Linked DNA regions of Mytilus edulis. The protein of the gene in region 1 binds, or shares a complex with, the protein of each later gene. Links are inferred from orthologs where the notes say so. Each region holds a gene or a part of one and is shown on either strand. Other genes may lie near its edges.

What was found.
Region 2: the proteins of protein prenyltransferase alpha subunit repeat-containing protein 1-like (region 1) and synaptobrevin homolog YKT6-like are in contact, whole or in part, in a crystal structure (PDB 6J7F), measured with the Homo sapiens proteins. The link is inferred for Mytilus edulis from reciprocal best matches to the Homo sapiens genes PTAR1 and YKT6. Residues at the interface, in NP_001093136.1 of Homo sapiens: Glu31, Gly33, Leu34, Ile35, Pro36, Val48, Val50, Glu51, Lys53, Leu54, Gly55, Ser58, Lys135, Tyr191, His225, Ser228, Met229, His230, Val231, Ser232, Asp233, Phe298, Asp301, Leu302, Ser305, Tyr306, His309; in NP_006546.1 of Homo sapiens: Met1, Ser29, Phe30, Phe31, Asn83, Glu84, Pro86, Gln131, Asn132, Pro133, Arg134, Gln180, Phe184, Arg189, Ser193.

The regions. Positions count from the first base shown.
Region 1 is NC_092347.1:89,619,781-89,630,802, reverse strand, and holds the start of protein prenyltransferase alpha subunit repeat-containing protein 1-like, read right to left. Parts: upstream 4,970-11,022; 5' UTR 4,949-4,969; coding exon 4,878-4,948; exon of another isoform or gene 4,865-4,877; intron 2,237-4,864; coding exon 2,067-2,236; intron 1,451-2,066; coding exon 1,375-1,450; intron 567-1,374; coding exon 462-566; intron 1-461. Other genes in the region: programmed cell death protein 7-like, read left to right, coding at 5,201-6,448, 7,776-7,907, 8,365-8,451, 10,648-10,779.
Region 2 is NC_092347.1:81,090,307-81,101,181, reverse strand, and holds the start of synaptobrevin homolog YKT6-like, read right to left. Parts: upstream 5,129-10,875; 5' UTR 4,836-5,128; intron 1,827-4,835; 5' UTR 1,809-1,826; coding exon 1,702-1,808; intron 1,133-1,701; coding exon 1,050-1,132; intron 1-1,049. UniProt on the Homo sapiens protein: Vesicular soluble NSF attachment protein receptor (v-SNARE) mediating vesicle docking and fusion to a specific acceptor cellular compartment. Functions in endoplasmic reticulum to Golgi transport; as part of a SNARE complex composed of GOSR1, GOSR2 and STX5.

The DNA of each region.
Region 1 (11,022 bases):
TATCTACAATTTCATGAGAATTCTTTTGGCTTATGAAGTTTGTGTTTTTTTTCTTCAAATATTTTCAAGTACTTCTTTTATAGTGAACATCCTACAATGTTTGTGATTAAAAAATTTTCATATTCCTTATCAACCAATTAATTTGAAATTTTGTCTTATTCTTTTTATTTGACATTCTACAAATGTTCTATGTGAAGGCTGAATTGTGAGAGGGGGGATAACTCATGAAAATTCAGTTATTTGGAAAGAAACATCCTGCTGAATAATATTTTTACTTTTCACTGAATGAAAGTTTTGAGTTAAACATTGAGTTCAATGGAAATCTTCAACTCTAAGATATTCTATTCCCCTATTTTAAATTGATCTTGTCATCTGTAACTGAAGTTTATAAATGTTTTTGAATGTTATTGTTACTTGTGACAGGTTAGTGGACTTTTAGCTCTTTGTTTATTTATCTATACCTGTGACTGAAAGTTTCTGGACTTTTGGGGTGCTTTCCCAGTACCAATGCTCCAAGTTTCAAATCATCTGCTACTGATAGGTCACCATTCTCTATTAATTCTTTTCTGTAATACAAAAGTATTGCTCTATTAATTTGTTTTCTCAGTTTAATTGTTTTAGATTTTTCAAATGCCTTTTATTGCAGACAATATGGTATGGGGTTTTCTCATTGTACAAGATGTACGGTTGGCTATAATTGCTTTCATCCTTTTCTTTTGGATTTTGGTGGATATTGGTCAGATTGGCAATCATACCTGATCTCCTTGTTGTTATATTGCATGCAATCTAAATCATGAAAAGGTCTTTGCTATATACAATAATGTATAGCACTAACATATTATACCATGACCATAAAGAAAGTGACATGCTTTAAGTTCAAGGTGAATAGAAACCAATATGAAGTGAATGCAAGGAGAGAGGGTTTTACAAACAATACTTTCTATGCAACATATTACACTATTTCATTTTGGGCAACTTTTGTTAGAGGAAAAACAAGGGCCTGGGATAAATCATTTATTTTCAGAGTGGTCAGCTTTACACATACTTATGTTTTACTTTTATCAACTCAACCACATACAATGTAATTTACCTTTTACCATAAATGCATGGCTTTATTTTTTTTACAGTAAAATTGTATCTCCCTCTTTGCAATTTTAAGCATAAAACAGTACAATATAATTTGGATAGCTGAATTAAAAAAAAATGGTAGAAGTACACTCCATTCTAGGGACTTTATTTGAAGACTCAAAATTGAAGGGCAATATTAGCGGTGCCTGCCCAATAATATGAAAAAAAATTTTATTTTGAAGAAATGTATATATAAATGATTATATTTAATTGCTTAATTGATTTAATGATTATTTCAAACCCTACCTGATGTTCCATGCAGTAGAACAATCTGGATTGACTAACACTATTGCTCTAGTTAGATTTATTAAATCCAATTGACCTGTAAAACATAAACAAGTAAAATATAATACACTCATTTTAGCTGGCAACATTTTGTTACCTACATGTATTCTGACATTGGACTTGATATTCTTTCATTTCTTTTAAACTGTGTTTAACTGTGCATATTGCTGTGTGTTTGTTTATTCTATGTTGGCTCTAAATCCAGAGGTAAAAGGGGAGGATTGAGATTTCACAAAACAAGTTTCTTTTTGCACCAGTCCCAAGTCACCAGCCTCTAGCATTTGTAAGTCTTGTACCTTTTTTTATTTAGTTCATTTAAATATTTTGGAATTGAGTGTGACATCTATTTTCACTGAACTAGTTTACATTTTTTGTTTAGGGGTCACCTGAAGGCTGCCTCCTGTACAGGATTTTCTTGCTGTGTTGAAGACCCATTGGTGGCCTTGAGTTGTTTTCTGTTCTTTGGACAGGTTGTTGTCTCTTTGAAACATTGCCCATATCCTTTCTAATTTTTATATTTAACAGCCAATATTTAATGATGCATTAAAATAAAGAAATTGATATCTAAACCATGCATTTGGCATTGACTTTTATTCTTGATTTTCTAAACTAAACTAAATGAATAACTGAGATGGTATTGCGTGTAGTTTTACCTAAGAATTTGGCATTAACTTCTTTCATCCTCCATGTCATCAGTGTATTGTAGGCATAATGATGAAGAATTTTGACACTCCACATCTCAAGTCCAAGTTTATGGTCTTGTAGAATGAGTGGACTTCGGTTGTGTTTGGGTTCCAGTACTGGTAGAAAGTCATATTCATCACTGTAAATAATTCAAAATGTAAATGTTATAATATATTATATAATATGCATGCATGGCTTCCACATTTTGTGTTCTAATGATGTTTTATCCAGACAAAATCATTCACGATACTGAGTCACTTAGTGTTAATTTTCAATAACTTAGTGGAAAGGTATATATGAAATTCAAAGTGAGGGGCTTTGGTTAATAACTTCCTTTCATATTCATGTTCAGCTACATATATGGTTCATGCATAGACTTTTCACATATAGTTTGGGCCCCCATTTTTCAAAATCCTGGATATGTATCTGAAACAACTTCCTTGGCTATTTCCTTTGAAGTTCAACACGTCTGTATGTTATTATACATTTTGTAGATGTGATAATGAGCAGATAAGTGACAAAGTGCAAACTATTGTTTGCTATTGTTTGACAGTTGTTGGGCAATCTTGAACAGCAAAGTCGATTAAAACAACCTACTATTCTTAAGTAGGGATTCCAATGAGGGTGACGTGCAATTTGAGGTCAGTGAAAAGTTAATATCATTTCAAAGTTTTAATGATCATTTAAAATGATTCCAAAGTCATTTTAACAAGATGCAAATTGTGTGCAGTTACAAATATATACATGTACATGTTTAGAAAAAATTCTTGAAAAATAGAAGTAAAATCCAAAGCAACATCCAAAAAGTAAAAGATATAATCTATTCTCAATTGAAACTCATAAAGCAACGTTACATCACATGTAAATACAGGGAAATGACACAAAGACCTTACAAAGAACAATGTATCCTGATGCTACAAAAATTGTATATATCAAAAAAGACATAATTTGCAAATGTGAAATTTTAAAAGTAACAATAAATACATATGACCAAAAAAAAATACTATAGTGGTCTGCAATATCCGTATTATAATGATGGGTCCCTGTCCTGAAATACAATGCAGCAATTTCAGAAGTGACTATATAGCTATAATGAATTCTTATTGTCAGATACTTTGTGTAATCTTACCCAGTGCTTAATATTTAATTAGAACCAGGATTTGTGTAGTAAAAAGGTTCTTACTATAAGTATTATGATTAAGACATTACATTCTATTCTCTGTTTTTTTAAATTGATAATCAAGCCTTAAAAGTCAGCAGGAATTGTTATTTTAATGTCTTTATCATGTGTAACATATCCTCTCCTTTCACAGCAGATGGATGTACGTCATTCTGACAAAATGACTTTTTGTTGTAAAATATTCTTTCTCAAAACAAACTCTCAATATCTTTAGGTCTTTTCACCACTGAACTCACTGCACACCGCCGAACAGCCCAAAAATTATATTATTTTATCTTTTATCATTATAAATGTGACCTTAATCATGTTAATATAATAATTTAGTTATTAATTCAACAAAATATTAGATTGATAAAACCAAACATCTAAATCAAACATTTAACATAATATTTTTTTATAGGAGAGTACAATGTGTATATAATATAAAGAACAATTTGAAAAAGTATATGCTAGCAGTCTCTGGGACCAGGAACATATATTAACTGATAGATATATACTGTTCCCAGCTGGGACCCACATCTCCAAAAACACATACAACAGCTAGAAATGGTCCAAAGTAGAGCAGCCAGATTCATCAGACATGAGTATTCTCAAGACCCAGGCATAGTAACATCTTTATTAGAGAACCTAAAACTACCACAACTACCATGACTATAGGAGAGACGAAAAACATCATGTTTACTCCTTTTTCACAAAGTAATCCACCAACTTATTGCAATTCCAATTCCAGAATACTTGACACCACCAGCAAGAATGATGCGTCAATTCCATCAACGGCGATTTGTCAGATTAGGATCAAGTTCTGAACAAAGAAAACATAGCTTCTTCGTAAGAACCATCACAAATTGGAATGAACTACCGCATTTATTGCTGTCTAGTCTATTGGACATTGACGACTATGAAGCATTCAAGACCAACCTCATAGCACACAGATATCTGTAAATCAGCACACAAATGTTTTTATCTGCCTTGGCACCTGTGCATATGATTTTAATTAGGCAGCAACCATTTGATTTTCTGGGGGGGGGCTATGGTTTTTTTTGGAAAAAAAAGTTTGTTTCCAGTTTTTGGAGAAAAAAATAATTTGTTTTTGATTCTGAGAAAAAAAAATTGTTTGTTTCACCCTCAGCTGCCACTATATGTAATGCTAAAATTGAAAGAAAAAAATTGTTTTCGACCTGTCGCGAAAAAAATAGATTGTTTTTCGCCGCAGGCGAAAAAAAAAGTTTGCACAGATAAAAAAACCATAGCCCCCCCCAGAAAATCAAATGGTTGCTGCCTTAAAAGAGCACATTTTGGATGACACAACTTTAAATTTTAACATATTACAGATTACCCATATAGATGTATAGGTGTGGCCGAATCGACCGTGTCCGAAACGACCTTAACGATATGGTTAATAACTCTCAGGACATTTCGGCCACATAAGTTATGTGGCCGAAATGTCCCGAGAGTTAAGACATAATATCTTAATAATTTCTTTGTTTACATCTGTTTTTATGAAGAATTTGGTTCAATGCAAGCTTTCTCAATGAAATTACATCGCCTATTGAAATGCCAAACTGTTCGAAATGGGGCTTAATTTACAGTTTTTAATTACATCTCGGGGTCCTTCCGAAATACGCTGTTTAAATCTGAAAGTAGGCGACATCCTCTGCTGTCAGACGACATTTTGGATTTTTTGTTATGATCACGTGATGTCGCACAAAAAGATAATATACTGTTCTTTTTATTATTATTTTGTATTTTGAACGCCAAATATAAATATTTTTGTCTATTATGAATCTCTTTTACACAATAAAATTTTTTATTGCTGCAATTAACAATAAAATTAAAGTCACGAATATACGAGATTAAAGATGTCAGCGCACATGAAAATCCAACCAAAAAAAACAACTTTTTAATTAGAAACGGATAAGAAAGATGTACAGTCGAAATAACAGCAGAAAGAACTTTCGGCCTGCAAATCCTCGATTTGTCACACGAGGCCAAAACCAGAGACACAATTTTCCTCCACGAACACCGGGACAGTACACCCCAAGAAATAACCAACCAAGAAGGTTTCAAAACACAAACACTATCACGTCCAATTTTCCAAATAATGAACACGGGCAAAATCAACGCTCATTTGAAGAAAGAGTTGATAATCGCAATGTTCAAAGTAGTAGACCACAAGGGCCTTCTTCATTTCCAATATACAACCAAGGGCAAACACAAGGCAGCCAACAAGACCAATCACAACCTTCAAGCTGGGAGCTAAACACTTCTATGTCTATGAGAGATCCAAATCGCAATAGGACTGGCATGGCAAAATACAGTTCTGACTCGAGAATTACACCTCAAACATCAATCGATGGCTATCACCAGGCTCCACTTATCAACATGTCGATGAATGATCAAAAACCTTTTAACTGGTCAATGAATGATCAGAAGAATGAAATTCTTGACAGTAAAGGTAGTGGAAACTTTTTTACAAAAGTTGCACAAGAAGAAATACAAAAATCAAAATCAACTTTCAATTCACAGAATATGCAAATTCCAGGTCTTGATGTTATTCCTGATCAGGATGAAAGCACCACACTTGTGCAAAGGTCAAGCATAATATCACCTCAACAAAGTTCTGAATTGCTGGGTTCTTTGAGTTTCGCACAAACTGAAAAACCGTTTGACAATAGACAACAAGATCATACAAATCCTCAAATTCACCAATTTACAAAACCATTGGACTACCAAGGACTTAGTCATGTTAGTGTTCCTGAATCAGTTCAACCTGTACAAATGATGATCCCAAATTGTCCACCTCCTTCCAATTCATTTTTGCAAAATGATATGCAATTCAGAAATAATCAGCTTGGAATGCCACCACCAATGAACAGATTTCCTAATCCATTTCCACCACCTAATTTTCAACCAAAACCCTACGCAGGTTCAAATCCGTTTCCTCCAAATTCTCATCCTCCTCCACTCAAGCCAGTTATGAATCAGCAAATTCAGCAGCACCACCAGCAGCCGTTTCAACTTAAAAAAGAATTAATTCAGACAGAACATGCAACTGTACTGCCAGGGAAAGAAAAAGATACAGAGTGGATAAAATCATGGCTTGATAGAAAAGGAATACAATCTGATGATTGGAAGGTCCAGAAAAAAGAATGTGTCAAAACACCAGTTAATGTAAGAATTGGCTAGCAAAAATGTAGGACAGAAAATCACAGGACAAAAAGTCACAATTCAGTTTTGAGACTACATGTATATTTCTTTGAACAAGAAAACACAAATTTAAAAACGAATATTTTTGTTTTTTCTTGAACTATTATATACAATGATATAAAAGGCAACTTTAATTTTGTAATTAAAATGTTTTCAATAAATATCAATAATGATCAAATAATTGTTATTAAAACAAAATGTCAAAGTTGCTTGGTACACAAATGTCTTCATGGTGCTAAGAAATATATTCTTTGCATGATTAAAATGTGATGAATTTTCATTTATCAAAACCTGTGACAAATTTCCTTATCTGAAAAATTAATATACATATGTATGTAGTAAAAAGAAAATATTTCTGGATCTTTCTCTTATACATGTATATTCAAACAATTGTTGAAGAATTATATGTGACTTTTTGTCCTGTGACTTTTTGACCTATCAAATTTGTGACTTCATGTCTTGTGACTCTCTGTCTGTTTACCGGCTAACAATACTCAATCTATATATCAATATATATAGATGAGCAGTGTCATAAATGATCTAGTGAAAATACGCTGAAGTACAATTCTAAAATAAGTATTGCAACATTCCAATGATAGACAAACAAGATTCAATCGATTGAATTATTGAACTGTATTGTGATGTGATAAATGTTTCATTCATGACATTGTACTTCATGTCTCGTGTACTTGTAGCTACATAATGTAGGGTACACATCAATTAGACAGCAACCTCAATTTTGTTCAAAGTACAAGACTCTATGGGTCAGGCCAAAACGTATTATATGTGTAAGTTTCAAAGTTGCAAGTAAAGTTTTAACTCTTAACAGACATTAATTTACCTTTTTGTTGGACTATTGCATATATCACACAGGTTGAGACCATCAAACAAGTCAAAGCTAAGGATCTTTTCCCCTAAAAAATTGTTAAGTTAATGTAAATAAAACTGGACATGATTAAACCATCTACAGGTGTTAAGATATACATGTGTACACTTGTTGATTGGTCATGTTGGTTATACAAATGTATGTAAGGGACCAGGCTAGGGTTACAGCAAGTCTGTTTTCCTTGAGATACCAACTAAGGGAAGCAGTAGTTGTTACAAAGTAAAGTCTCAAACATTTTGTCTTTACAATGTACAAACATTGTATGCAAAGCATTTAAATGTGCATGTTGGAAAAACTTTTAATTCTTTATGCAAAAAGTATATATTTCAGTTGAAATTTTGTAGGGTTTAATGCAAGATTGCTTTATTTATACACATCTTTTTCAATTTTCATAATATGTTTCAGCTATATGATGTCCAAGAAAAAACAAAAAGAATGATGTTTCTGATGGCATCCCTTCAAAAACAGATCAAGATTTTAAAATCATGTGATCAACATCAGATTGAGGAAGAAATGAGAACAACTAATAAATTGAAGGTATGAAAGAACTATAAAGAATCATGGAAGAGAAATATTTAAACTATACAGGAATCCAGATGTTCCATGTTGTTAGTTGTTATGGATTTTTTTTGTATGGGATGTGTACATGTACATTTGTATGTTAAACATACATCTGTATCATGCATATAGAATGTATAGATAATTGTTTGATTGCTGATTTTTTAATGCTTTGTGCAAATAATTGAAACTTGAAAAAGATGGAATTCATTTAAATAAATTTACATATATATAATGTATACTGCTGAATGATGTAACAATTGTTTTTAGTACCAATACATTTGTACCTACAATGTACATGTGTATGGATCTAATCACATACATTACATACATATTGACATGATTGAAATGATTCATTAAAATTTCTTCATTTGAATACCAATAATATCTTTATTTTATTTTTGAAAATAATTTCGAAATGTCTATATTTGTACAGGATGAAATGGATGCCATAAGGAAATATTTGTCCACAGTAGATGTTCTGGATTTAAGAATGAAAGTTAAGAAGAGGATGCAAAAAAGGGTTTGTTGAAAGCTATTAATTTGTTGTGTCAAAGTTGTGCAAAACTTTAAACAGCTCAGAATTTTCCTGAAATATCCAATGGTTATGAAAATAATAAAAGGCTTTAGTTATTCATGTACCATTAACCCAAACCTTCTATTTAAGACTCCTCAACCATAAGAATCCTCCTCCCTTTGTATTACAATTCATGTAATATAATTTGATCATTGTCTTTGCCAGAAATTTTGTAGCTGATAGATGATATGGTTTTGAGCTTTGATCCTTCATATCCTTTTGGAATCAAATTATCCCAGTTTATTTAGTTCCCTTATGAAGTTATGATTTTCAATTTATTTCAAAAGTATCAGTTATAAGGTTCATCAAAAAGAAGGTTAGTTTCAGGTTTAAATTATAATACATGTACAGTGCGTGTATAAGTAGAAACACATTCATTTGTTATTAATTTGTTTTTATCTTGAATAAGTAGATGAGATCATGTGTCTAGGGTTGGCAAAGTAAATTCATTCAAAACATTTTAAGAAAACCTGAAAAGGGCAATGTTTTAGCTGTATTAACTGTACTGTACTGACACATATAACATGTATGAAGATAGTTTTCATTAAATGCTTAAAGAAAAATTACTTTATACATTTGTACATAAAAAACTAAAGTTAGATGTATGAATAAGCGGTGTTTGTACAAGAAGAGTTGACAAACAAATGAAGTCGGGTCCAGTAATTTTGTTCATCCAAACATTGGTTAATTTGATAACGTTGGGATAATGAATGGTAAAAAGTTCTAACGCCTTGTGTATTGTTTGTAAAATGATTATGGAATATAAAATAATTAGATGAATACTATAAACACAACATCATATAAAAAAATTAAATGAAATTTGGAAATAACTTTATTTTTTGTATTATTTTCAGTATGTGAACATTCTAGCTGGACAAAAAGAATACTATTAGCCTGTTTATACAAATATCCTTTTGCATTACTGTATTATATCCTTTCAGCTTCAATTACTGTTGACATTTCATTCATTCTATGATCTGATTCAACAAATCTTTTAACTGCAAATTACTTTGTTTGCAGTTGAATTGATATCAGTTCAGACGTCCATGACCCTTGTTTTATCATAGTTTTTATTTGGATGTTTTTCATAGTTTAGTTAAAGTATTTCTTTGAACTTTTTTTTTCTTGGATAACATGATGTCACCATTCTAAAAGTCTAAATTTTGAAAGAAAAAAATTGACACAGTACAGGAACACATAGATATGATTATATTCAAAGAGTCTAGAAACTGGTGATATCATGAACAGATATGAAGTTGTACAACAAACATATCACAATTTTACATTACATTACAGAGTAAAGATTTTGAATACCTTAACACTAAAACTATGTCACTTAAGTTTAGGTCTGTCCATGGGTTACAATACACTAAATATATATATATCGCTAGATTAAAATTATTAGAATTCCATCAATTAAATTTAAATTTGTAAATGACAAAACATTTCTGATTATGGAGATACTAATAATCAGAGGTATTGAAAAAAGATATTTCAAGCCAGTTAAAATTCAATTTTGTAGTTCAATTTTCTTAGTTTGGTGTAGTTTGTTTTTTACAAATAATTTAAGACAGGATAACACTATAAATCACACTGAATCTCACCACCAGCACCTTCGACATGAAATAGAAGTTCTGTCATAATGAAAGTCAAAAAAATATTCTGTAATATTATTGCCACTGGAACAAATATTACAGTATTTGTTTCTTACTGAATAAAGGGCAAAGGAACAAATTTTATTGCATTGTTTATACAAAAAAGTATGTAGGAAACTTCTGTTACGTGGAACAAATATATATTGATAACTGGACTATCATATCTTCTGGCAGATATTACAAAATTAATTAAAAAAACAAAACCAACAGCTAACAAATACAAAACAACCTTAAAGGATAGATGCATACCAAGATAAACAGAATATTAATTGTTATAAACATTAATTTATTTTGAAAGATTTTAGTAAAATACCATATGCATGTACAAATTTATTCTAACAAACAGCTAATATTGATCTCAAATTTGAAATATGTTTTGGGTAATTCTCCATGAACAACAACACATCAAGAAAAGCAAAATGACCAACATTTTATTTTTCTCACTAGAATTTTTGTTTGCTTATAATTGAATGAACTTTCATTTTAGGAGAGGATTAAGAAACAAAGAGAAGAGAAATATTTATCCAGACAGAGAGAATTAGAACAGAGAGAACAATTACACAAGGAAATAGATGGGAGGTTAAAGAAAGTCCATGATAAATACGGTAACAAAAGACAGGTAGTGTTTGTTAATGTATCTATGGGCTGTGATGTGAAAAAAACGTTAAAGCTTTACAAAGAAAGAATTTCATGATAATTTTTCCAACATAAAAATTAGATCTGTTCATTTTTTATGGATGACAAAATGTATTAAACATGTTAAAATAACCAAGATAATTAATACATTTTATATGCTTATATCGACTGAAAACTTTTAAGAACATTGAAGAAAGAACTTTGTGCATTCCCGTTGAAGCTTGGT
Region 2 (10,875 bases), about 8.5 Mb from region 1:
TACATGAAAGAGTACAATTAGCGATGAAAACTTCAACAAACTGACTGGCATGTATGTTTTCAACGTTTATGTAGCCTTTGAATTACAAAATTAATACATTTTCATTTAACCATCATTGTTTTTTAAGATAAAGTTTATTGTATTATTGAAACGTTTCTTATGCATATTTGAAAAAATACCTATATGGTCCAAATACTTGTATGGTCTGGTCCGGAACATAAACAAACATTATGTTTTGTTATGCTTGCTAAATAAAATTTTGACTTATGTTTGATCTCTTATGGGTTTTTTATGCATGAATATACTATTTGTGATACATGTGCATGTCTGAAAAGAGTGGATTATTATGATTTGGCTCAATATTTCAAAACTAGCAGCAAAAATTTGACAATATCAATTTTTTTGGAAATGTGTTTTTGGAAACCAGGTTATCTCTTGTGTTTTACTAAATATAAAAATGGTGATAAATTTTAAAAAATCACCAGCGCAATAGAATGAAATTCAAAACAGTGTGGCTGTGGCCATTGATTGACACATTAAATTCATCCATTGACTGAGACAATTTACGTGAACGTTTGTCTGTAACGACCACTGTTCACGACGTACCTACGATAGACATTTGAACTGTGGGGTCACCAAAGGTTTCTTTACGCCTTTAATTATAAAATAATTCGAAAAATTAATCAGGAATAACCTTTATGTTTTGATTTATATAATTGATATAAATCAAAACATCGTGTTATTTCTGAATATTTTTCGAATTACTTTTACCTTTGGTGACCCCATAGTTTAAGTGTCTTTAAAAAGTACATAGTGAGCAGTGGTCGTTACATACAAACGTTCACCTAAATTGTCCTAGTCAATGGATGAATTTAATATGTCAATCAATGGCCACAGCCACACTGTTTTGAATTTCATTCTATTAGCAAGTTGATGCAGAAGTTCATGGTATATCTACATGTATATATATATGTTGTGTTTAATGTTAATATTTTTAATATGTTTAAGGATATCTGTAATGTTTTTAATATCTAGAATTTTGAGTTTACCTTGTTCTTTGGTAGATGACCTTGAACAAATTGCTGTTCTTTCTACAATGATTTTACTGGTGAAATCCATAAACTCTTTGACACTAAAAAAAAAAGACACACACTAAATAATTGTAACTATAATGACATGTACATGTAACAATATAACACATTTATTTATCTTAGCAATGGCAGGGAGAATTCTACAATGTAAACATGACAAATTAAAAGTCATGGCATCAGCTGTAATTAATACATGAACCATGTTTATATAATACACTCATGTCATCTTTGTTAACTTCTTTTCTACCAAACAAAAAATTAGACAAAATTATTATACTTCTAAAAAAATTAATAAAGTACTAGTATAAAGGTATTTTATTAAGATATCTTAGTCAAGTTAGTGTTTTCTTGTCCTACTTAACTTTTATTTGGGGAGAAAAAAAATCCTGGTGGTTTCATAGTTCCATTGATGCTAACTGGTAGAACAACATTTTAGGGGAAAGTAAAATGATTTTACTAATGAAATGTTTCATTCAAATTCATCAAAAGTAACTGAATTTTGTTCAATTCTTGTAGAACATTAGTCATAGTGTCTAGGTCATCCTCGACCTACTTAATTAAAATTAACTTACTGATACAATATTGTATCTACCATTTGTATTTCACTTACCTAGACCTTTGAAAATATCCAAAAGATTGAAGGTCATGTGTAGCAGCAAGAAGCCTTACTTTCCCATTGGAATCTTTGAATAGCACTTCTATACAATAAAGCTTCATCGTTCTTGAATTTTGTTTCTGAAAAATGTCAAAGATCAGTATTAAACATGTATATTTGTCTTCATACATATTTTTTATTTGTACAAATGTAATTGTTGAAGGGGTGAATGTGTGGGTTGCAAAGCTGTAGGGTGCGAATGTGTCTTGGGAGCGAACAGACATGATACCAAGCTTAAGTCGTACTGGAGAGTGGAGACTAATTGTAAAGAATTTGATCACCTGTAATGTTCATTAGTTTAGAACAACTGTACTTTTGTTTTCAACAAATTAAAAAAACTAACACTTACTTTATCTACAATGTAGTACCAATTATTTCAAATGAAAATTTCTCAGATTTTTCAGGTCAAAATATGTTACACAAAATAAATTCCAATATTTTTAAAGAAAATTATGTTTTCCTTTAAGAGAACCAAAATCTTGTCTACAAAAAAGCAAGTTGTGAAAACAATAAATCAAATTAGTAACAGGGTCATTCTGTTTTGAAAAATGTTAAAGAAGAGTATTACACATGTAATTTTTGTTAACATATGTTTGTAGGGAAATTAACACAGTGAATATTTTGTTACTGTACAGTGGAGTCCCTGTGCGTCTGGTGATGTTGTGCATTACCTGATTTTGTCATATGGACAATGTAACAAAATCATTCTTGTCATTTTTTTAGTATTCCAAAGGGACAAAAAAGATTAAAATTGATAAGTCAAGATTAACTTTATAACTACAATTCGATGACTAACCAAATTTAGACAATTACCATTAAAAATATTATATAAACAGATAAAATTTGTTTCATTAAAGTCAAATTTAAATTAGATTGAAATAAATTTTGCTCTGTATCCTTGGCAGTCTGTTTGGTTTAAATTCAATTATTAATAATTATAGTGTGTATTATAAAATCTTTCTTTTCTTCAACATAAACTATTTTTTAAAAGGCATGCATGAAATCACTAGACATTTAAAGAACTCCCAAAACAGGGAGTTACCGCCGGAAAGTAAACATTAGTACGTTGATGGTTTTCTGTAACAAAAGAAGAAGGGGTTTCAAAATTTTGGATACACATCACACACAATCTTAAGGGTGAAACCATACATACATGTACAGAAGAGTTTAAGAAATTAACAGTATTGAATGAAATGTTTCACACAATATTATCCGATTTTTGGTTTTATCATTCTAATAAAGTGAAGTCATCAGGGTTTCCCCTGGGTCAATTATTTTTTTCGCCACCTCTTTCGCCAAAACAATATATTTTTCGCCACTTTATTATTTTTTTCGCCATATGACACAAATATATCTTTCTTTTGAATTCCCCTCCCTCAAACCTCAATAAGATTACTTTGCCCCATTGCTTTCTAAGATTACTTTCTAAAACTATTCTTTCGGTCTGTATTGTAATAAATAAAAATACTAAACATTTACCTTATAAAAAAAAAAAGAACTGTACAGGGAAAATTGATTATATTTTGAACAACTTTAAAAGAAAGGGACCACTTTTTTTTGAAATTAAAGAAGATATAAATCCTGGAATATAATCTTGGTTACATGAAAATGTCACAGTTCTTTGGGAAAGTTTAAAAAAAAATAATAACATGTGTCCTTTTGTACTAAGAAGTGTTTTTTTACAACAAAACAAAAGTTTTTTTATCACTTGACATTGATCCCTCATGTAAGGTGTAGTCATAACATTGAAGGGTTATTTTTATTCGAGGGGTTGTTCCCAACCTTTTGAATACATTTCTTTATAAAGACAGTTTTCTTTTCTATACCATCGCCAATACATGTGTAAGTACAACTATGCTTGAAACATGTGTGTCACTGAAACGACTTAAAAGTACCCACTCCAATCAATTATCGATTATCAAAGTTAAATGATAAAGTTTTAAATTAGAGACCTTTCTTGCTTTTGAACATTATCCTTCATAGGCAAGTTTTCTTTTCTGGACTATCATTAAAAGAAGGAGAAGAGTCGTCAAAATTTTGCTTCAAACACGTGCGTCGCAAAGTCACGTTAATAGATCCTTTTTAAAGTGACATGTAACGAACGCCATTCAACCATATCATTTTCTCATTACAATCAAAACCTTTATTAATTAGTCCTTTGATGTCGATAGGCATAAAATGCAATCAGCTGATTATTGATTATCTGTCAAAATCTTAACGAGTTCTAGGTGAATTCCGAGTATTGTCTGACCAGGTAAAGACAGAGAAATCCGAAAAAAAGTAAACAAACAAGATGGTTGAAAATAAATCGTTTTATATATTTCTTTTGCCAAATTCTTTCGCCAATGACGAATTTTAATCGCCACAATCATTATTTTTTCGCAAATTGCGAAAATGGCGACCGCCAGCGAAAACCCTGGAAGTCATAAATCTTACGTGTGAGGATACACCGGACTGCACCATACATGTACATGTATAGTTATCTCATAAAAGGTTATCTTGTCTTCATATACATTTTTTATTTGTACAAATATGATTTTAAAAGAGATGAACGTGTGGGGTCACTTGCAAACCTGAAGGGGGTGAATGTGTCTTAGGAGCGACCAGACCTGATAAGTGGTCTCATTGGGGGGTTCCGATCCCGGATCCCGCTTACTGTTTTGTCAGATTCCCATATCCCGCTTACACTATGTACGTAAGCAATTCTCATTTTTTTGTCATTTCCCGGGTCCTGCAAGACCTCATTTCCCGTTTTCACGCCACAATAATTTGACTTTCACGTGTCACGCTTACAAAAAATCGCCAATCCCGCGTCACGCTTAGACCCCAATGAGACCCACCTGATACCAAGTCATACTGTAGCTGCGGAACCGTAGCTCTTATGTCCTTATGCTATTTTTTCACTATTTGCTGACCATAGCTCTATGGTCCGCAAATAGTCAAAAAATAGCATAAGGACCTAAGAGCTACGGTTCCGCAGCTAGTCATACTGGAGACTTTAATTTGTAAAGAATTTAATCACCTGTAACCTTCATTAGTTTAGAACAACTGTACTTTTTTTTCAACTAATATAGAAAACTAACACTTACTTTATCTACACTGTTGCAATTATTTCAAATGAAAATTTGAATTTCTCAGGTTTTTCAGGTCAAAATATGTTGCACAAAATATTTTCCAATATTTTGTGATAAAAATTATGTTTCCGTAAAGATAAATCGAAACCTCCTCTTCAAAAATGCTCTTAAGATGTGACAAAAACAAATCAAAGTAGTAACAGGGTCATTTTGTTTTGACAAATTACTATAAATGTCACATGAATCACGGGCACTGATATTTGGCAATTTTGACAACACAGGAAATGACGTTAAACAGAGTTACCTTCTCTTGATAAAATTATAAAACACAAAACTTACCGGACGCGTGAATCCGTATTACAAATACGGAAAATGCTCATAAATGATTTTTATTGGTATTAATTAATATTCGTTAAATTCAATCATTATCTAAGACTATTTATGTATGTTATCAAACGAAATACCAAATGAAATACTTATCTTTTGAATATATTGTTGGCTTAAAAAAAATATAACTCAGTGTCTTATCATATATAGCCTATCTGGGACTAATACTTATGTGCCCCCCCCCCCCATATGTATGAAGCAACTCAAGAGGGTCTGGATGGAGGAATTTCAATTCTGTATTATTTTATTAGGTCATTCGAAATCGTTCTATATTATTGATATGTTTTTGTCCATTATACTATGATTCCTTTTTAACTACCAATTGTTGACTTGTCTATAATTCTTAATATTTTAACATCCCAATATTCTCTATTCTTCATTTATTTCGCCCATAACAAAGCATACATTTGTCTCTACTGTATTCTATATGTGTGTGGCCATTTTAGTTTTCTGTAGCATTGGTCCATTGTTCTCTATTATGTAAACCCCGTCAAGACCCTTACTTAACACTAAACTTTATTTGACATAGGATCTAGGAATATTTTCTATACCACTACATGTTTTAATGAAGACTGAGCATACTATACTGTATGGGTTATACTCATTGTTGAAGCCCACACGGTTGCCAAAAATTGCTTGCATTCACATCATTTGAACTTTGATAGTTGTCTCACTGGCAAATCTTACCACATCTACTTATTTTTCATGATATAAAATTCTTCATAATCATAATTTTTTTTTTACATGTGTAGTAATATTAATAATGTACACAGATAAAGATGATTAACTTTGACTATATAAAGTATTATAATTAAAATATTGGGGCGGGGGTTGGGCCCTCATTTTTTTTGGCCGATCACTATGATTCTCGGCATTTGAATGGGAATATGTAGTTTGACCCCTTTCTAAAATGGCTGGATCCGCCCCTGGTGGCCTGTCAATGTTTTTGGAGATAAAAAATAACTGTTCGTCCATTTGGATATAAAATAGGGTCCCTAAAGAACATAGTTGTATGTGTCGCTAACCTAATCCAATGATTCTATTAACCAATGGAATTTCCAACATTGCAAGTGGATAAGAATAGAATTCCTGACAAAAAACTGTTTTTGTTGATCATGTCTTGCTGATCATTTTGTGTTTGATTTCTCTCTATCTTCTTTAATTTTTGCTCAAAACATAAAAAGGGGTACACAAATACTTATTTTTTAAAGTGCAATCACCGTGAAATATGAAGAGCCCTACTAACAATATTTATAAAATTTTACTTGTTTGTGGATCTCACCATGCTTGTAGTTTTTGTTGTTCAACGTTTCTATTTATCGGCTGTAATTTGTATCATAAATGCAAAACGCTTAAAACAAACTGAATGGTAAAAATTGTCATTTAAAGCAATAACTCCAATAATGAGTCAGATTATTTCCTCCACTTGTCTAAAATGTAGATCTTTCCTTGTAAGTCACTATTTAAAAAAAAAATCGATCTATCTTTTACAGTTTTATAAGGCAATCATGAAAAAAATGATTGGAAAAATCTGTAACCAATAGGCAATAACTCTTATAGGAAGTCGACTGACGATTTCGACGACTTCGAAAATACGCTCTTATCTTTAGATCTTGATTGCTATTCTTTTTGCAACTTAAAGTTTCTCTCTGTCTGTAATAGTTTTCAAGATGAAAGGCTAAATGATGAACTGAATTGGTAAAAATTGCTTTTTAAGAGCAATTTTTGACGTCCATGAACAATTAGAAGAGCTCAACATTATGATCATTTTTTGTCCTTGTCAGATTTAACACAAGTAACATGTTTAATGTAACATGAAAAAAATCCCTATCTCCCGATAGGCAACATCAAACAAAGAATTCGTTAAGAGTGGACAAGCTTGAAACATAGAAACATTTTTGGCAAGATTTAATTTTGAAATGCATGCAGCCAATGGTATGGCTGGTCTTGTACAAGAAAAGGATATAAAATAGTTTCATATGTCAAAAACGTACATGGAGTGCTTTACAGTATCATAAATTGTCGTAAGCTTTGTTTTGTGATTTGTGGAGTTAATTGAAACTCTCGACTTCGACTGTCAGACGAAACAACAAAACAACTCGAAACTATAATAAAGTCTATACTTGCAATTGTGCAATACAAACAAACGTGATGAGAGCAATGTGAAATGTCAAATATATACATGATCATCTCATCTATATATATATATATATATAACTAACTAACACATTTCATGTTTGTCGGTCAAATATAATATTTAAATTATTATATTCAAATCGCTGTAGAACATCAGTTAACTTTATATACGATTAAGGTTTGTGCCAGCATTAAAAAATGAGTAGTTCAAGCTAGCATTTATAAGCGTTAGTGGCCTTCTGAAATTAAGGGTAACTTTATAAACCACTTTTCTAGAATAAGAATGTTCAATGTTTCGTAATTTTTCAGTATCAGTTCAAAGAAAAACACTTTGCATCTAGATAATGAAGAATTTCAACTGTTATTCATATATTTGTGTGATTTGGTGTTCAGAAAATCATTCAGATGAGTATTGGGATAATGGTCTAGAGTCTCGTTCTATCCCTGATGTTCCTGGTGTACATGCGACAAAGATTTGTATAGTAGAACATCCATGACACGAAGAAAACTTTTAAAGACCAGATTCCATAGTATAGTTTTATTACTATTATGGTATTTATATCAAATTACATTAAAAAAAATGTAAGATTCATAACTCTGTGCATGTCTCGATCTGCACGGCATGTAGATCTGTCTTCACGTATATATATGATACAAACATAAAAATAGTCATAACAAATAACGGGTTTAATTTCATTTCAATTACCGATTTATTCATTTTTTATAAAACTAACTTATCATTAACAGGCCAAAGTTTTGAAAATTGTTTAAAGGTACTTATTTTAAGAGATATTTCCATATATTTTACCATATATCACGCAGTTATATTACTACTTAACGACAATTTAAACACCAATTTTGAAACCTGATTATGATTTTTATCAATAAATCAATCTCACTATTTAATTATTTTTTAATGTTAATTTAAATCTTGACTATACATACAGTTCATTGTGCCGGTTTAGTGGCTCATTTTATTCTTCTTCATCTTTTGATGACATGTACCTGTATTTACTGTGCTTACTCTAATCTCTTACACTGTATCATTCAATTCGCTCAAACTGATCTCCTGATGAAACATTCAGTATTGTGAAAGGGAAACTTTTCAGATTTTTACCCTGTGAGTGAAGCATAGTATGGTAAAATAAGCTGTACGTCTGTAGTTTTCAAGGAAATGGACATATTTTCTTTGCCAGTGTAGTACGTGCAATTTTGTTTCAATGTCAACGTGGGTCTTATAAAAACTTTATACATTTGCGATGTCAATGCTCTTTTCGACAAATGATTACTTGTTAAGGGTAATCAAGGCGAAGATATTTGTAAATTAAAAACCTATAACAAAACTGTTACCTAAAGTAGTCAAATTACAGAAAACTACCCAAAGTAAAGTCAAACCCGGTTTTAAGGAATCAGAGTTATGCATTAGAGAATTGTCTTTCTGAGTTTCAAGTAATTTTCTTAAGTTCTATCAATGTAAAGTTAACAGTATTTGTATTATCATGCCAATACTGATCTTCTTGGCTCCATTCCCCAATAATTTCAAAATGTAACAATCTGAATCTACCAGTAGAGTCTGAGGTCACAGACACTTGTCTCAAATTTTCCCCCCTAAATACCTTAAAGTTTATATTAAGGTATATAGGAATTATTTTTTTTTTGAGACATGTGCCTGTGCCTGAGGTACCAACGGCGAATCAGAAATCAAATACGAAGTCAACGTTGTTTAACAATCTGAATTAAAATTGTTACAAGAAAATTTGTTTTCATGATAATGCATTTCTAAAATATAAACTTTGCTCTTCAAACTAAATTTAATACTAATTTTTTTTGCTAATTTAAAAAAAAAGATCTAAGTCATCATAACCGGATTTATTTATTATTTTTTCATGGTTTGTGTTACAACTGAATTTGACAAGACATTAATTCAAAATTATCTTGTAATGATCAAATTACAAAAAAAAATCTCTTTTTACGGAATTGGTCTAGATGAATTTAATGCAGAACCATGTACATTTATCAAGTTTATTGCCTTTTAATGTTATATATCTACAAAAGTCAAATTCTTTTTAGTTACCTTTTTCGCTTTTAAATTTTCTTCGATGACATTCCTTAGATTGGAAAAAAACTTTATTCGGAAGGTCGTAACATACTTAACAAAAATAACTCCAGCCTGAAAAAAGGTGAGAACAAAAAAACAACGGAACATATATTCCTGCTACCTTATAAATCTGTCGACACACAATGTCTGTAGGTTAGATATATCAACTTCTTCAGAATTACATATTTTGATCGTCAGTCCAACCTTAATTTTAACTATGACAAACATGAATACACTTGTATATATACTTGTTATTTTCTATAAAAGATCGGGAACGTATAGTTCACTTGAGAGAAAAAAATATGCATGTTTTACTGAAAACAAATCATAAAAGTATAGCTATACACAATAGAAGAAAAATATTTTATTTTCTATTATGGGCCCCAAAGTGCATAAACATTACAACATCAATAATTGTCCCACAATACGCAATACGATACATACAATGAGATAAATAAAAACAAGAACAGATTAACAATTTAAGTTCTCAAAGTAATAGATCTATATAGATTAAAAAGTAACCTATAATTTTGAATATAAGATTATCTATAATGCATTTTAATGCAAGTGTGTTGAAATATATATAACAAACACATATATCAACCTTCTAACATGATAAGAAAACACTTCTCAGAAACATTTGTATTGTAATTGTTCTGCTATTTACATCTGCCAAAGGAAAATGTAGAGATAAAACAAAATGCATGTCCTCTGCCAAAATAAATTGTATTTGTAATATAATTGATTTGTAGCGTGACCACCATACAATGCAACATATAACTAATTACATCATATTAACTAAAGTAATTACGTGTAAAACATTGATAACATGTATTTCAATAATTAATGTATGACCACGAAATGTCTAGCGGCAAACAAGTGCAATATCTCAAATAGTTCCCAATCACTAAACTTAGTACATAAGTACTATCCTTCAAAGTAAACCATTCTGCTTTACATGTATTGTAATAATTGGATTGTTCATGACTGAGAAAAGATTAAGTTTTAATGCCAACTGGTATATACAATAAAATGTAACTTTATGGAAAATAATTAAGGACGTGTCTACCCAGTTCATTTAGAACATATTTGACCATGAACATGATGGTGGCGAAGTGGAAATGTGTTGTTTGTTGATTGCTAAACGTCTAGCAGCAAATATTTTAGACATCTTCTTTTTTATATATTTATATATTCAGGACGATAACAAATACCAACAAATCTAAAAGAAAGGCTCGTATAGGCCAACCATAATGTAAGGGGCTGGGGGTTTACTGACATTGGAAAATTATGATGTCAAAGGAGGAGAAAATTTGCATTGCAACATACCACTTGCTAACTCATCAGAGTTTCTATAAAGGAAACTACCTCCTGGTAGCGTGTTAGTCTCGGTGCGGTTGGTTGTGGGTTCGAACCTCGGCTGGGTCAAACCAA